Elephas maximus indicus: one gene and its partner. The protein of the gene in region 1 purifies or fractionates together with the protein of each later gene. This does not show direct contact. Links are inferred from orthologs where the notes say so. Each region holds a gene or a part of one and is shown in the gene's direction. Other genes may lie near its edges.

Evidence for each region. Proteins that work in one complex are often made in the same cells at the same time.
Region 2: the proteins of BPTF (region 1) and HMGXB4 fractionate together in Homo sapiens (co-fractionation; 3 studies listed by BioGRID, with this or other methods). This does not show direct contact. The link is inferred for Elephas maximus indicus from reciprocal best matches to the Homo sapiens genes BPTF and HMGXB4.

What each region holds. Positions count from the first base shown.
Region 1 is NC_064837.1:56,115,539-56,124,303, reverse strand, and holds the start of BPTF (nucleosome-remodeling factor subunit BPTF), read left to right. Parts: upstream 1-5,444; 5' UTR 5,445-5,480; coding exon 5,481-6,093; intron 6,094-8,765. UniProt on the Homo sapiens protein: Regulatory subunit of the ATP-dependent NURF-1 and NURF-5 ISWI chromatin remodeling complexes, which form ordered nucleosome arrays on chromatin and facilitate access to DNA during DNA-templated processes such as DNA replication, transcription, and repair.
Region 2 is NC_064822.1:178,692,806-178,700,549, forward strand, and holds the start of HMGXB4 (HMG domain-containing protein 4), read left to right. Parts: upstream 1-4,272; 5' UTR 4,273-4,344; intron 4,345-7,744. UniProt on the Homo sapiens protein: Negatively regulates Wnt/beta-catenin signaling during development.

The sequences.
Region 1 (8,765 bases):
ATGAGTTGGTCACCCTATCTCTCCCTGTGCAGGGTACTTCCAAAGCTGCAAAGTCTTTGAGGTCATAGATGAAAAAAGGGGTTCATGTTCTCAGCTGGAACCGGGCTATGTTCTTCCCAAACTAGGGGTAGCAGATTATTTGAGGAAGCTAGCATCACTAGGAAGCGATGGCCAGTGCCACTGGTTGTGGCATTAGCAGGGCAAGCCAGGTAGTTATGTGAGGCAGCAGCAGCCATCTACCTTCCTGATCCAATCTTCTTGCCTGGTTTTAGATGTTTCTGGCTGTGTAGCCTCAGAGCCTGGTTCTTTTGTACCCTCAGTGATGCTGTGATCTTACAGCAGATGGTGTTGGTTTCTGTTGGCTGCAACCAAGAACCCAACTGTTAAAGAAACTGGTGCCAGAGTGGCCCTAGGCTGTGGAGTCCCAGGGAAACGGGGAGGGGTGTCTGTGACTGTCTGTCTGGTCTTCTGAGGCTGATGGCAGAGAAGAGGCATCTAATGTGAAGGTATGATGCTCTGATAGCCCATAGCAAACAGTGGCAAAACAACAAAATCACCGGTGTCACCTGGAATTAAAGGCAGGTCTTCAGAGGAGTGACTGTAGCCATAAAACATATAATGGGAGTGAGGAATTCAAGGGCTGTGGGGCGGTGTCTTCTACGGTACTGGATGCTGAGAAGCTCTTTTTGGATTTAGATGACTACATATGCCACAATTGTATGTGCTGCTTTAAGCCATTTTCAAAAGTGACCTGAAAATTCGTGAATGTTGAGTGCAGCCCAGAGCAAGTGAAAGTTCTTCAGCAGGTCCAGGGGGCAGTGAAAGGATCTCTGCTAATTGGTTCTCATGACTCAGTGGACCCAATAATGCTCTGTGTACATCCACGTACTGGGGTGCTATACAAAGTCCATGGCAAGCCCCCAAAGGAGCATCACTATGGTTACATTTAGGGTTTTGGAGCAAAGTCTTACTCTCTTTGGCTAATAACTGTTCTTTTTGAGAACTGCTCTTAACTTTGCTCCTGGGCCCTGGCAAAGACAGAAAGCCTGACCTTTGGGGTACCAGGTGACCGTGTAATCTGTTCTGCTTATCATGAACTGAGTATCTGTTTCATTTAGCCATAAATACCCGGTAGCCTTCCCATCCTGAAGAGTACATGGTATATGGAAGAGCAGGCCTGAGCAGGTCCTGGAGAAACACAGGAGTGCAATTCCCAGTTCACTGAGTGTTTACTCCCACTTCACTGCCACTCCTTCCTCAGTCCACAACCCCAACTCCCCATGACCATATAACTAAGAAGGACAACATTTGAGCTTGGTTTACAGATGGTATCAGCTGGAAATGGACTGCTAAAGTACCATAGCTACAGTTGGAAGTGGTCTTGAAGGACAGTGGCAAAAGGACATCTCCCAGTAGGCAGAGCCTTGAGTTGTATTTATTGTGGTTCTCTTTGCCTTGAGAAAGACTCTACACCAAGTCATGGGCAGTGTCCCTTTGGCCAGCTGGTCAGGGACTAAGAGGATTGGTGACAAGAAGTTTTAGAAAGAAGGTATAGATGAACCTCTCAGAATAAACCTAGAAAGTGATAGATTTTGTGCCCCATATGAATACTTATCAAAATATCCTCACTGCTAAGGAAGCTTTAACAAGTTAGAGGGCAAGAAGACCCAACCTGTGAATGTAGGTCAAACTCCTTCCCTAGTAAAGCCAGTACCTGCTTATAGGGGTTATGCACAAAGTGGCAATGGGGGCTGGCACCAAGGTTATAACGGATTCAACACGTGCTTCCCTTCTGCAAAGCTGAACTGGCTATTGCCATTGCTGAATGCCCATGTTGGAAGGCGTCATTATAATGGACTCTATAATGAAGGGGACAGTGAGTCAACTTAATTGGGGAGAGGGTTATACTGAAGTTGGATTTGCTTTCCCCCACCAGCCATACTTATACCATCATCATCACCCTACAGGGACTTACTGAATACCTTATTTACCATCGTGGTATTTTATACACCATGGTATCAAGCATGAGACTAACTTTAAATGAAAGAAATAAAGAAATGGGCTATCCTCTTGGATGCACTAGCCTTATTTACACTCCCAACCACCTGAAGCAGCTAGCTTTACGGAACAGTAGAATGGTCCGAACAGTAGAATGGCCCACGGAACACTCACTTGGCTACAGAGCCAGCTGCAAGACAATAGCTTGGGAGCCTGGATTCCATTTACATTTGGAACCAGCAATTCTGGAGGTACCCATATCTGTCTCACGGAGTCCTTTTCTGTTTCTTTTAAATGAGCCATAGTTGATTTCTATTGCTTGCAACTAAAAATTCCAAGTGCTGTATCTGATCTAGTATATTTTGATCCATCTGAAGTGCTTTTAAAAAATTGACTTAGTTGCTAATATTTAAAAATCAAGAGTTTCCATGTGTAATCCTCATTTGCACCTTCTCTTGAAAAGGTTGAAGACCTGGCCATTTTAGGCCTGTATTCTTGTAGCTGCTCTTTCTAAACAAAACTTGGGTGCTCAGTTTTCCAAAGGCCTCACCCTGCCCACTTTGTTTACTTTCACTGCTCACCTGGTCATTGAAGGCATATAAGTTTGTGACCCTTGGTGCTCAACCAAATTATGTCTAATAAATTAATTTGGCAGTTAGCACTTGCATTTCTTTAATTTTCATTTCACATATGTTCTATTTTTTCACTTACATTGTAAAATATTTGGTGGCCAGAATAATGTTAACTATTTTTCTTATTTATTTATTTTATTGTGCTTCAGGTGAAAGTTTATATAGCAAATTAGTTTCTCATTCAAAGAGTTCTATACAAATTGTTTCATGACATTGGTTACAATTCCTACAATGTGCCAGCACTCTCTCTCTTTCCCCCTGGGCTCCCCATTTCCATTCATCCAGTTTTCCTGTCTCTTCCTACCTTCTCTTTTTGCTTTTGGGTAAGTGTTGCCCATTTAGTCTCGTATACTTGATCTAAGAAGCATGTTCTTCACTTAGTTTTATAGGGTTGTCTAAAAAAAAAAAATTTTTTTTTTTCTAATCTTTGGCTAAAAGGTGAACTTTGAAAGTGGCTTCAGTTCCCATTTAGAAGGGTGGGGGGCCATAGTCTTGGGGGGTTCCTTCAGTCTTTGTAAATTTGAATTTTGTTTTACATTTTTCTCACACTCTGTCTGGGACCCTCTATTGTGATCTCTGTCAGAGCGATTGGTGGTGGTAGCCAGGCACCATCTAATTCTTCTGGGCTCAGGCTGGTGGAGGCTGTGGTTCATGTGGTCCCTTAGTCCTTTGGATTAATATTTTCCTTGTGTCTTTGGTTTTCTTCATTCGCCTTTGCTCTGAATGGCATGGGACAAATAGATGTATCTTAGATGGCCACTGGTAAGCTTTTAAGATCCCAGATGCTACTCACCAAAGTAGGATGTTGAGCATTTTATGAACTGTGTTATGCCAATTGACCTAGATGTCCCCCAAGAGCATGGTTCCCAGCCCTCAGCTCCAGTAACTCAGTCTCACAAGATATTTGGACATGTCTGGTGGCGTAGTGGTTAAGTGCTATGGCTGCCAACCAAAGGGTCGGCGGTTCGAATCTGCTAGGTGCTCCTTGGAAGCTCTATGGGGCAGTTCTACTGTCCTATAGGGTCGCTATGAGTTGGAATAGACTCAACGGCACTGGGTTTGGTTTTTTGGGTTTGAGGAAGCTTCTATGACTGTGCTCCGTTTGTGCTCTATCATATATATATATATGAATATACACGCTGTACATACAAACGTGTGTAAAAACATCCACAGCCTAACCTACATATGTGCATGGGTTTACTCCTAAACGCCCTCCTTCGTCTATTCAGGATAGGTATCTGCCGATGTACCTGCTTATAAGTTATTATTTGTTTTTACTGTTGTTGCGGGACTGTACATGCTGCAGTATTTTATTTACTGTGGTTGCCTTTTATTTTTTTCCTCGTGCTCCTGTAAGTGTCTTCCTTTGTCTTGGTCAGGTTGTGCTGACCTCCCCTACATAATGTGTTGTCTTTCCCTTCACCAAAGTTAACACGTCTACTATCTTAACTATTTTTCTTTGAACCACTCCTTGGATATTTCATATTTTAATAAATACTCACTTATGTTTATAAAACCTTTCTCTTATCCCTAGAGCGTACCTTGGCCAACCTATTAAGTCACCCCGATTTGGTGTGGGGAGCCTGAAATTGCATCATCACGACTCCCACCCTAGACGAAGCTGAGACCCTACTGACTTGTCAGGTAAATAAATAATTTCTCTAGAAGACAAAAATATTTTGAAGCAGGTTTTAGGAGGGAAGTCACCCTTTATGCTGCAAATGAGAAACAGGAAAGTTCTTGCTGCCATTATCAAGTTCCTAGATGGGACACTAGGAAAAGTGTAAAAAGAAAAAAACTAAAACAAAAAAACCCAAACCCTTGCTGTCTGGTGGACTCTGACTCATAGCAACACTAGAGGACAGGGCAGAACTGCCCAACAAGGTTTACCGAGGCCCCCTTGGAGGGGCTGCTGTGTTCGAACCACCAACCCTTACAGTAAGCGTTAACAGCCAAGCACTTAACCACCAAGCCACCAGAGCTCCTTAGAAGAGGTGTCGCAAACTAGAGTGTGGTTGCCTCCTGGAGTTTATCGGAGGCAAGAAGCTTCCAAGCGACTTTCCTTCAGGGTCTGGGAGCCCAGGGCGTGGTTTCTGGCACGGCCCCGGAGCAGTTGTCATTGGGATCAATTTCAGGACTCCAGAAAAAAGCGCTTGGAGTTTCACGTTTCTGGGGGCTCGTCTACGGGGCCCCAGTTAATTTCACCCCGTCGGTAGCACTACCCGGTCCCCCCCGTCACTCGGGCCTCCCCCTCCGTGACACTGTCGCAGCATCATTTCCCCAAGGGGGCGGCATGCAGTATGAAATTTGGGGCTCCCTTGCCCTCCTCTCCGAACCCGGGAGGGGAGACGCGGGAATTTCGGGCTCCGCTGGGGACTCCGCAGAGGCTTTCGTCTCCCGACGCCTTGCGCGGGATTCATTTCTTCAGCGGAGCGCACCTCTCGCTCGCGCTGCGAGAGCCCGCAGGTCCACCCCGCCGCGCCAAGGCGCCCGGGCTCCTCGCACCCGACTGGGCGCTCCCGCGCTCCCCCTAGCGGCCGCCGTGCGGCCTCGCTCCGTCCCAGGCTCGTCGGCGGCGCAGCTCACGTGACCGCGCTCTGGGCCTGCGGCCGCTGTCGGTTCCCCCAGTCACCGAGCGAGAGGGAAGAAACAAGATGGCGGCTGAAGGCGATCCGGAGTGGGGCCCCAGCAATTCGGATTGAGCCTTCTCCCTCCACCCGCTTCCGCCGGCCCGGCCCCTCCCGCCCGGCCCCGCGGGCCTCCCCACCCGGCCCCGGCGCCCCTCACCGCCGCCCCTCCGCCCGCCCCTCCCCCCTCCGCTTTCCCTTCTCCCCCCGCCTCGGCTCCGACATGAGGGGCCGGCGGGGCAGGCCGCCCAAGCAGCCCGCGGCTCCCGCTGCGGAGCGTTGCGCCCCGGCCCCGCCGCCGCCGCCGCCGCCGCCGCCCACGTCCGGACCCATCGGGGGGCTCCGATCGCGGCACCGCGGCAGCAGCCGGGGCAGGTGGGCCGCCGCCCAGGCTGAGGTGGCGCCCAAGACGCGGCTGAGCTCACCCAGGGGGGGCAGCAGTAGCCGGAGGAAGCCGCCGCCGCCGCCGCCGCCGGCCCCCCCCAGCACCAGCGCCCCGGGCCGGGGGGGGCGAGGAGGCGGGGGCGGCAGGACGGGGGGCGGGGGCGGCGGCGGCCACCTGGCCCGGGCCACCCCGGCCCGGAGGGCCGTCAACAAAGTGGTGTACGATGACCACGAGAGCGAGGAGGAGGAGGAGGACATGGTCTCCGAGGAAGAGGAGGAGGAGGACGGCGACGCCGAGGAGACCCAGGATTCCGAGGACGACGAGGAAGATGAGATGGAGGAGGACGACGATGACTCCGATTATCCGGAGGAGATGGAAGACGACGACGACGACGCTAGTTATTGCACGGAAAGCAGCTTCAGGAGCCATAGCACCTATAGCAGCACTCCAGGTACCCACCCAGCCCAGTTGCTGCAGACGCCTTCCCCACCTCCTTACCCTCCCCCCTTGCTCACTCCCTCTTGGGTGCTGTGCATCCTGCTCCGGCCTCCCCCCACCCCCACCGCCCCCCCAAACCGAGGGGAAATGCGAAGGCACATCAAGTGGCAAAAAACTAGATTTACAAGAGGAAAGAGGCGCATTGTTCAAAATGGAGATTGCATTGTTGCACTTTGCAGGCCACACTCGCTCGCTCTCTCTCCCCTTAGCCCCCCTTTTTTTCTCTTCAAAATTTATGCCAGTGCAATGTCTCCACCGGGCAGGATTGAAACTTTGGCACACACACATCCATTGCATTCATTTTTCTCCCCTTGTTTTGGTTTGGTTTTTTGGAATGAAAGAAACCACTTGTTTTTGCAAACCTCTTTGCGTTTCTAATGTGGTTCTTTTAGATTTTTATGGTCTATCTGCTCCTTAAAAGGGGGTTTAGGGTTTAGATAGATTGTGGCAGACACATAAATACACACAAACAAACAAAACTTTCTTCCCTTCACTCCCCTAGCTATGTGGTTTAAAAACTGTGTTAAGGAAATAGATCAGTTGGGTTAGTAGAGGAAGCCTTACTTATCTGGCCCTGTGTGTTTGTTTTTATTTCTTGGGTGTTAATGGGCTCGTGCAACAGTGGCTGGTAAATGGCTGATTGAAAAGCAAAGCAGAAAACCAAACCCAAAGCAAATTCGGTAATTCATCCGATTCAAAATCATTTGGGTAAAATCCAAAATAAAAGTAAAAAACCGCAGGAGCATGCCGTCTTACTAATTTGATGGCGATTGCTTTGCTTGGGAAAGACAGTTTCATGTCACCTGTTGCAGAAGACGCGTAGTTGATCACCCAGACATAATTGCTGAAGATGACCACTTGGACCAACTTCTAAGTCACACAGCAGAGATACTGGGGGGAGGAGGGCTATTAGAAAACAACTTTTGCTTTTCACTCTGTTTCTGAGGCTGAAAGTCCATCCAGGATCAGTAATGGACTTCTTCGTGGTGACTCCTCTCCTGTTTTCTCTCAGGACGTTTCTCTAGGTTGGTGCTGAAATGCCTTTTGTTAAAAAAAGAAACAAAAAAATACAACACAATTGCTGCTTTGTATTAAATACGTAGTTGCAGCTTACTAAATTCTGGAAAAAAAACAAACAAATATGTAGCAAAAACCTGCCAGACATTGTATTTTGGTTTGTCTGGGTTAACTAAATTAGAATCTGGTTTTAAGAGCATTTACAAAGTAGTTTATGAGGAAATACGGGGATCTTGGAAAATTAAGGTGTGTTACTAGTGTTTAAGAGAGACTAGGGTAGAAAAAGTAGTTAAATTGAAATGTTTCCATTTTTTGCAAATGCTTCAGTACCTATTGGAGAAGTATGAAACCGGATATAAACCTGTTTTGGTTGTCTTAACGTGAAATGGGAAAGGTAGTGGCTTTTGCCTGACAATGAGAGCGTGTCTGTCTTTGTTGAGGGTGGAGACAGGCAGGGGAGAGTGAAGGTAATGAATTAAGTGTTAAGTATTTGTCTTTTGTATGTGAAAGGGACTGCACAAAAGTTTTGTTCCTTGCCAGCGTAATTTTAGTACATCTTTTTATAGTAATAAGTTTTTTTACTTTAAGAAATCACACATGTTCACTTTCTACCAAGAGCCTAGAATTGAATGAACCATAGAAACTGAATTTCACTGTTGGAGGAAGTTCTTCCAGGTTAGAGAGGAGCTAAGGCATTTTTTGGTATGGCAGTTTAGCTAACTTTAACTCCTGTTTGAAGGCCTAACAAATAATACTTTGGATTGTTGGCTGTGCATGGGCTGAATTACATGACAATTCGTGGTCTGGTTTCCTTAAAAAAAAAAAAAAAAAACTTGTGTATTTATGACGTATCTGTGACATTTTTTTTCCTAATGACGTTTGTAGTCTACCTTGTGTATACTTGTCCTATCCCTTTATAAAATTATTAACTCCTTAATGAGAGATCTTGATCTCATCTCCCTTGCGCCTCCTAGTCATGCCCATAGCAGGTGCTCATCAAAGGCGGTCTGGATAAGCCATAGTTAGTAGGCGAGAACTTGAAATAGATGAAGTTTTGATAATTCCCTAGTGGGTGCTATAACTCGTAAATGTTTTGGTTTTAGTAAACTAAAAATTGGTCTAATTAGATTTTAACAGTTTGACTAGCAAATTTTTAAATAGCAGAGTTACTGTGTTTTGAAATGCTGTTTAGTGTTGCTTGCCAGGCATTTTCCTTTCTTCAGGGGATACGGTGTTAACTTCTTGGTTGTTTTGCCTTTTGAAACTCATTATTTCTCAGTATTATGGTAAATGGAGGAGAGAGTTTGTGTTCTGGACTTTCAGAATATGCCCACTTGCCTAGAATGAGTAACAATGCATGACAGGTGAGTTGTTTAGGCTAAGTACCAGTTTCATTAGTTTTATTGTCTGTACTTCCTGGGAGGAAGGCTGTGGGGTAAATGTGTAAATATGTACTTGTGTTTGGGAAGGAAAAAAGTTCTAGGACTGGTTTAAGATATCCCCAAAACATATGAAGAAATAAGGTTGATGGAGTTGAATCCTATGGTACTTTCAAACCTACAAGAAGGCTGTATTTTATTGGTAATTTAGAGCGATTTCATCAATTTT
Region 2 (7,744 bases), on another chromosome or scaffold:
TCTCTAATCCTTTTAGGGGTTCTTTCCCAGGCCTTGGGTAGTTTCTTCACACACATGTGCTGATCAGTAGCTTTTTCAGACTGGCTTCTTTCACTTAGCAGAGTTTCTGCAGAGCTTCAGAACTTTCTGTGTGGGCAGCTCTCGCCTCTTGGGTATTCTACCCTTTGAATTCAAGCCAGCTTTACCTCCAGAGACTCCCATCTCTGTCACCTCAACTCAGGGAGACCTCAGAGCTCCACCTGGGTTACCCTTCACTCACCTGTAGTCTGGAAACTCTCTTCAGACAGTAAACTGAGCCAATTGTAGGGTTCTCCTTGCTTGTTTCCTCCTTCTCAGAGATCACTGTCCCATGCTGCCTGATGTCCCTGGTCTACAAACCACTGTTTCATATATTTTGTCTTTTTTTTTTTTTTTTTTTTTTATTGTTTCAGGCGGCAGAAGAAATCTGATCCCTAGTACTCTACTTGTTGTTAGTTGCTGTCATGGACTGAATTGTGTTCCCCAAAAATCTGTCAACTTGGCTAGGCCATGATTCCCAGTACTATGATTGTCCACCATCTTGTCACCTGATGTGATTTTCCTAAGTGTTATAAATCCTACCTCTATGACGTTAATGAGGCAGAATTAGAGGCAGTTATGTTCATGAGGCAGGACTCAATCTACAAGATTAGGTTGTGTCTTAAGTCAATCTCTTTTGAGATATAAAAGAGAGAAGCAAGCAGAGAGACGAGGGGACTTTATACTACCAAGAAACAAGAGCCAGGAGAGTAATGCATCCTTTGGTGTTGGCGAAGAATATTGAATATACCATGGGCTACCAAAAGAACAAACAAATCTGTCTTGGATGAAGTACGACCAGAATGCTCCTTAGAAGCAAGAATGGCAAGACTTTGTCTCACATACTTTGGACATGTTGACAGGAGGGATCAGTACCTGGAGAAGGACATCATGCTTGGTACAGGGTCAGCAAAGAAGAGGAAGACCCTCAATGAGATGGATTACGTGCTGGCAGCAACTATGGGCTCAACCATAATGACAATTGTGAGGATGGCACAGGACTGGGCAGTGTTTTATTCTATTGTACATAGGGTTACTATGAGTTGGAACCAACACGACAGCACCTAACAACAACAGAGGCACCCAGAGATTCTGAGGGAGAAAGACCTGGCAATCTACTTGCATAAAGATTAGACCAAAAAACCAAACCCAATGTCATCAAGTTGATTCTGACTCATAGTGATTCTATAGGACAGGGTAGTACTGCTTCGTAGGGTTTTTAAGGCTGTAATCTTCACAGAAGCAGACTGCCACATCTTTGTCCCACAGAATGGCTGGTGGGTTTGAACTGCTGACCTTTTGGTTAGCAACCGAGTGCTTAACCACCATGACACCAGGGCTCTTCCGCAAAGATTTCAGCCTTGGAAACCTTATGGGGCAGTTCTATTCTGTCCTATGGGGTGGCCGTGTGTCAGAATAGACTCAATGGCAATGGGTTTGATGTTTTGGTTTTATGCATTCAAGGAGCCCTCATGGTGCAATGGTTAAACACTCATCTGCTAACCAAAAGGTTGGCAATTCAAACTCACCCAGCAGCAACACAAGAGAAAGACCTGGTGATCTGTTCCCTTAAAAATTAAAGCCTAGGAAACCCTATACCATTCTACTCTGTCACATGGGGTCGCTATGAGTAGGGATTGACACCTAACAACAACAAAACAGGCTACAAAGGCACAGACTGGAGGGACCGGCAGGCAGGTCTGGAGGAGAACACAGGGGCCTGGCCCAAGCCCTTCTGGGCTAAGTACAAGATCTCTGTGTGGCCCAGCCTCCCCCCGTCACTCCCAGGAACTCATAGCACAGGCCCAGAAACACCACTGCTTGCCACTCCAAGCACATGGCGAAGCACTGACCCCCCTTGCCTCCTTTCACCCAATTTCTCCCACTGGGAATGCCCTCCCATGCTACCCCAACCCCAGAGGCAAGGGGCAACTGGAGGGTTCCCTCTTCCCTGAAGCATTATGGATTAATGAATTCCTCTCTGGTTCCAATAGACAGAGGATCAATAGGGCCAGTTTCCACCGCCCATCTGTCAATTTGTTGTACTGTGGTGGCTTGTTGTTTCTGCGATGCTGAGAGCTATGCCACTGGTATTTCAAATACCGGCAGGGTCACCCACGATGGACGGGTTTCAGTGGTTCTTCCAGAGTAAGATGAGGAAGAAAGACCTGGTGATCTACTTAGAAAATTAGCCAGTGAAAACCCTATGGATCACAACAGAATATTGTCCAATATAGTGCTGGAAGGTGAGTCTTCCAGGTTGGAAGGCACTCAAAACATGACTGAGGCATAGCTTCATCTCAAAGTAGAGTCTACCTTAATGATAAGAATGGAGTAAAGCCTTCCAGACTTTATTTTGCTGGGGGGTGAGCATGTGACCTACCTTACCCCATCAGTATATTCTATGCCTTTACTCACGGTGATTGGTTTCTGTTTAGACAGATGACCCAATTCAGGCAGTAAGAGTCAATCCCAGGACGTCTGCCAAAACAAATAGGAAAGAGAAACCCCCTGTCCAGTGACACTGCTAGCTGTAAAGATGATGGAGCCTGGAGCTGTTGGAGTCACCACCTGGAGTCTGAGAATGAAGCCAACTCAGAGGAAAGCACTACAGAGAGATGTTAAGAGGGCAGCTTGAGTCATTCCCTGAATCCAGCCAAGCCTGAAGGTGGTACACATTTCAGTAATGTGAGCCAATACATCTGCCTTTCATAGCAAACTCTTTTGAGTTGGGCTTCTGTCACTTACAATCGAAAACATCCTGACCAATACAGCCAGAGTGAAGAACAACAGGGAAATATATTCTTATGGCTCTTAAATACCTCAAAGAGAGGCCTAGCTTCAGGCAAGATATCCCCAAAATGCAAAGCTCATACCTTTTGGTGAAATTGACTGCCTGCCTTTTAGGTGAGCAGGATGGGGCTGAGGAAGAGGCCAAGATGCTAGTTTTATTTATTAGTTGCAATTACATTTCGAGTGTAAATTCAACAACTTTGTCTCTGATGTCTTAACTTTTCAGCATTTCACAGTTGTAGGGGCAGTGATTAACGAGAATCTGACCTTCTACCCAGTGCTGACAGGGCGAAAGCATGATATGGCAGAAAAAGCACTAAACCAAGAGTCTGATAATCCGGCTTCTAGTCCTCATCTGATCACTAATTAGCAGTGTGGTCTGAGAAAAATCACCTTGTTTCCCTCCGTCTCAGTTTCTAAGTCTGTAAAGTGAGCTGCATAACTACAACATCTGCAAGCACCCACCCCATTCTAGAATGGAAAGCCCACTAGGGCAGGGGTTGTTTGCTGGCACTGAAAACCCAGAAAAAACAAACATGTGCACAAACGCATAAATTTGCACAGATTTTTATGGAACGCATGACTCCAGAAGTCAATCTCTAACTTCTCTGCTCTACAGTAACTCAGACACTAGCATCTGCTGGCTCCCGTCTAGCTGGGCTCCTCTGGTGACACGGGGCTCCTTTCCTTACACTATTAAACTGCTCTTAAAAAAAAAAAAAAAAAACTTCAAATGGAACCAAAGACTGCACACTCTAATTTCTACTCATTGGCCCAAATTCTCTGAAGCAAATTCGAAAGCTCTGATTCTTTCCTGAACGTTACATCTCTTAGTTTTTCTGAAGACTATTTCCAGCTTTTAGGTGCAAATAGGGAGACATGCATGCGATTCACTAGGAAAGTTATTTTACAGTACATTTTTATAAAGATGTGTTCTTCCCCTTCACTCCAGATATACCAAACACCCAAATGTAGATGGCAAATTCCAAATAAGCGTCACTGCTATTAATCTGCAGGGTTCTAGATTTTTCAAAGAGGGGAAACACTGTATAAAAATATTTTGAACGAAACAGCATATTCTTCTGGGAAGGGCACTGCTTTTAGAATCAGAAGACTTGGGATAGAATTTTGCCCCCTACTCCAACCACCTGTTTGTCCTTGGGCAAGTCACTTAACATCTCTGAGCCTGTTTCTCGTCTGCCAAGTGCGATAAAAGCCCACTTCACAGAGATGTAGTGAGGATAAATGACATGATGTTCGTAAAGTCTCTAGACCAAGCCTACCACCGAGCAGATTCTCAATTAACACTAGCCGCGAGTTCAGAGTTTCATTCGATGAGCTCGGCGCTCTTTCTCAATCGGGATTCCCCCTCCCGAGCCCGAGTCTGCGCTCTGGGATCGATTGAGGCTTCCTAGCCGCTCGCGCTCTTCTCTCCTTCTCCAAGATGGCGGCGGTCGGCGGCGCTGAAGCGGGATCCGGGCGATCCGAGTGAAGGTAGCGGCGAGCGGAGCCCCCAAGAGGCCGGGCCGGGCCCCCACCCAGAGGCGGCAGCGGCCCCGCCCCGCCACCAGCCGCCGTCCCGGGACCGCGAAACCGCCCCGGGGGCGCCCCAGGCCCGTCGCGGCCTAGCCCAGGGGCCGCGCCGGGGACTAGAGTAGCGGCCGCAGCCCGCCCCCGGGAATGGGCTGAAGCGGGCCGAAGGAAGAAGGCGGGCGGGAGCTGTTCAAACGGGGAAGGCGGGAAAGCTGCGGGGCCGGGAGGGGGCGTGCGGCCGCCCTGGGGACCTACGGGCCGGGGCCGCCCCTCCCCCTGCCCGAGCCGTCCCCCTGCCCGAGCCGTCCCCGCCCTCGGGGGCACCGTGCGGCCGCCGGGGACGCGGGAACCCGAGTGGGGACCGCGGCTGGGCTCGGGGCCCGGGATGCGGGGTCCTGGGGCTGCTGGGGGCAAAGGGGCCCGAGTCCGGCGCGACGGGAGGGCTGGGTCAGCGGCTGGCAGAAGAGGATGCCAGGACCTTTCTTCTCTTTGCAGAGCTTTGTTGAACTAGCTGTTGCTGCAAAGCTGCGGGGAGGATCCCATTGATTTGCGTGGGGACCACAGAAGTGGTGGTCCTGGGGGGCTCTCTGTATAAATAACCTGGTATCGTCTGTATTTTTTACGGGTGACCCAGTTCTAACGTGCGTTTCTAGTGGTGTCTCCTCACACAGGCCCATTTTCCCTTACAGCTATTAAGGTGTAGATTGTCTTTTTATCATGCAAAAGAAGAGAAGCGTCTGGGCTTCCTCCTTTCTAATGCCCAAGCTGGTGGCTGATTATATTCCCTCAGCAGAATCAAAAACAAAAAACCGAAGCCAAAATAAAGCCTGTTGATTGGACAAGGCTTGTCAAAATTCGTATTGCTGGTTTTGTAGAAATGTGTGTTGTCAACCAGTCTGCAGTGGTCATGGTTCCGCTTAATTACACTGCAACAAGAAGATTCAGTCCCCATCCCAGGCGGTCGGGATCTCCGCAGCTTCCAGAGCTGGCAGGGGCTGTGAGTGCTGCATAGGTAGGACCTTGGAGAAAAGAGAGTGGCGAGAATTGAGTCGTGGCCGAAATTGGAGGAAACTTCGACAAAAATGAGAAGACCTCACCTGCTCATATCCTAGAAGTAACACACGCACGCACGCACGCACACACGCCCCCCAAAAAAGAAAAATTCAGAAACTGGCAACAGCTGGATGTGGCAATTTGAGTTCCTGCAAGAGGTGTTGGGCAAAGAGGAGAAACCCCGGACACGGTTCTCATCCTGGACAAGACCTGGCTTTCAGGATTTCACTTACTTCCTGCTTTATGGGACTGCCTGTGTTCCTTCTTTTTCAATATTTGTTTGCATTCTGGATGAAGAAGCTTGTTAGTGATTGCGGGGCTCGGATCACCTCAAAAAATCACCTTCTGAAACTTCTCTTTTCAGTGTTTATAATATGAATTTTCAAAGTAACCAAGTACTATAGCTGATGATTTTAAGTTTTCCCTAATGACGTCGGTAATCCCAAAAGCCTATTCCTGACCATAATTTGTATATTTCTCTACAAGTGGAAGAACAACTCTGCCTCCCCTTTTTTGTATCCTGAAGAAAAATCCCAAAAAGCCATTTAACAATTTGCACATTTCATAAGTATACATTTTTTTATGATGGCGTATTTTTTACTGCCATGAACAGTGCTAAATAATGAAATTTTACTTATGTTGTCATTTCTTAGCACACTGAAATGAACATAATTGTAAAATTATCCCTGCCTCTTAAAGTTGACAGCATTGAATTCTCTCAACGCCAAGATTATGGAACTCAGAAAAATGGCTTTTAACAGATTTCACATTTGCCAACATTTAATTCAATTATGGCCTCTGTTTTCTAATGTGAAAATCAAACCTAAGATGTTTCATTTCCACTAACCTGAATAATCAGCTGCCTGCCCCTAACTCCAGTTTTACCATGGATAGTATTTGAGGCCTAGAAGGAGTATCAGGGGCTCATCTGATCTTACATAAATGTTTCCTTTACTCTGTCTGCTACACTGTTGCTTAAGACTTCTTTAACTAGTGCCCTCTTTCTTTTATGAGCCAGCAACCAGAACTAGACCCTATGCTACAGTAATATTCAGATTTTAAAGCATCTAGAAGTTAAGGGCCCATCAGTCTTCCCAAGCTGTGACTGATATAGTCCATTGTGTTTAATTTTAGTTTTTCAAGCTTTCAGCTACCCCAGTTATTTAGTGGACTGGACTTGTCTTCAGGCCACTCTCATATTTTTCTACAGGTTATTTAATCCTCTAACTTATAAGATGTTCTTCAGTGTTTCTCAAGAAAATCTGAACAGCAACAGGCCTAATTCTAAGACTTAATGGTAACAGCAGCCCGTGTTTTCTGTATTGGCCTGTGCCTCTGAGGAACAGCTCCTAATTTTCTGTTTTCCTCTCGCAATTGTTTTAATCTACTGGTTGTTTTTCAAAGCAGTTATGAGACGTCAAGCACCTTTTCATACTCCAAATCGCAGTTATTTGTTTTCTTATTTTGTCTACAGAGGTACTTATTTCTATTCTGAGTGTTAGATTGCTCAACTCTGTCCTTTGGTGTTACCAAAGGGAAGTCCTAATCCTAAGTCTCAGGACCTTACATTTAGAAGTGCATTTTCTTGTTGACAGATTGTTGGCCATGTGTATGATATTGGATATTTAAGATTTTTTCCCCATTATTTCTCAAGCATTCTTTGCCAAAACCTATTTGGCATGAAAAGCATTTAACTTGAGGTCTCAAGCTGTGGTATTTCTTGGCATTATCAGCCTATGAAAATCAATGTGATGTATATATATATATTTTTTTTCTCCCTAAAAATCTCAATATTTTGGTTCCAAAATCAAACCAAACCCACTGCCATCAAAGTCAATTCTGACTCATAGAACCCCATAGGACAAAGTAGAACTGCCCCTATAGGGTTTCCAAGATGTAAACCTTTATGGAAGTAGACTGCCATATCTTTTTCCCAGTGGAGCAACTGGTGGGTTCGAACCAACAACCTCTGGGTTAGCTGGCAAGCATTTTAACCACTGTGCTACCAGGGCTCCTTATTTTGGTGCCAGTGAAAGGATATACTATTTTCACATTAATGGATCTAATACCTGATGACATTCTCCCACCCCTCCACTCCCTTTGGGTAGAAAGGGGAAGATAGTTTCCACCTGAGAAAGTTTAATACGTAATGCTGGAACATGAAAAACTACACTACCTTGCCCCTCATATTTCCACATGAGGCCTGGCCTTATGTCGCCGTCCCCTTCATTTCCTACGAAAATGCCCCTTGAGCAAGTGCTTTTCTGGCTTATCTTTAAAATAATCCACTTCGTTTAGTTTGTTTACT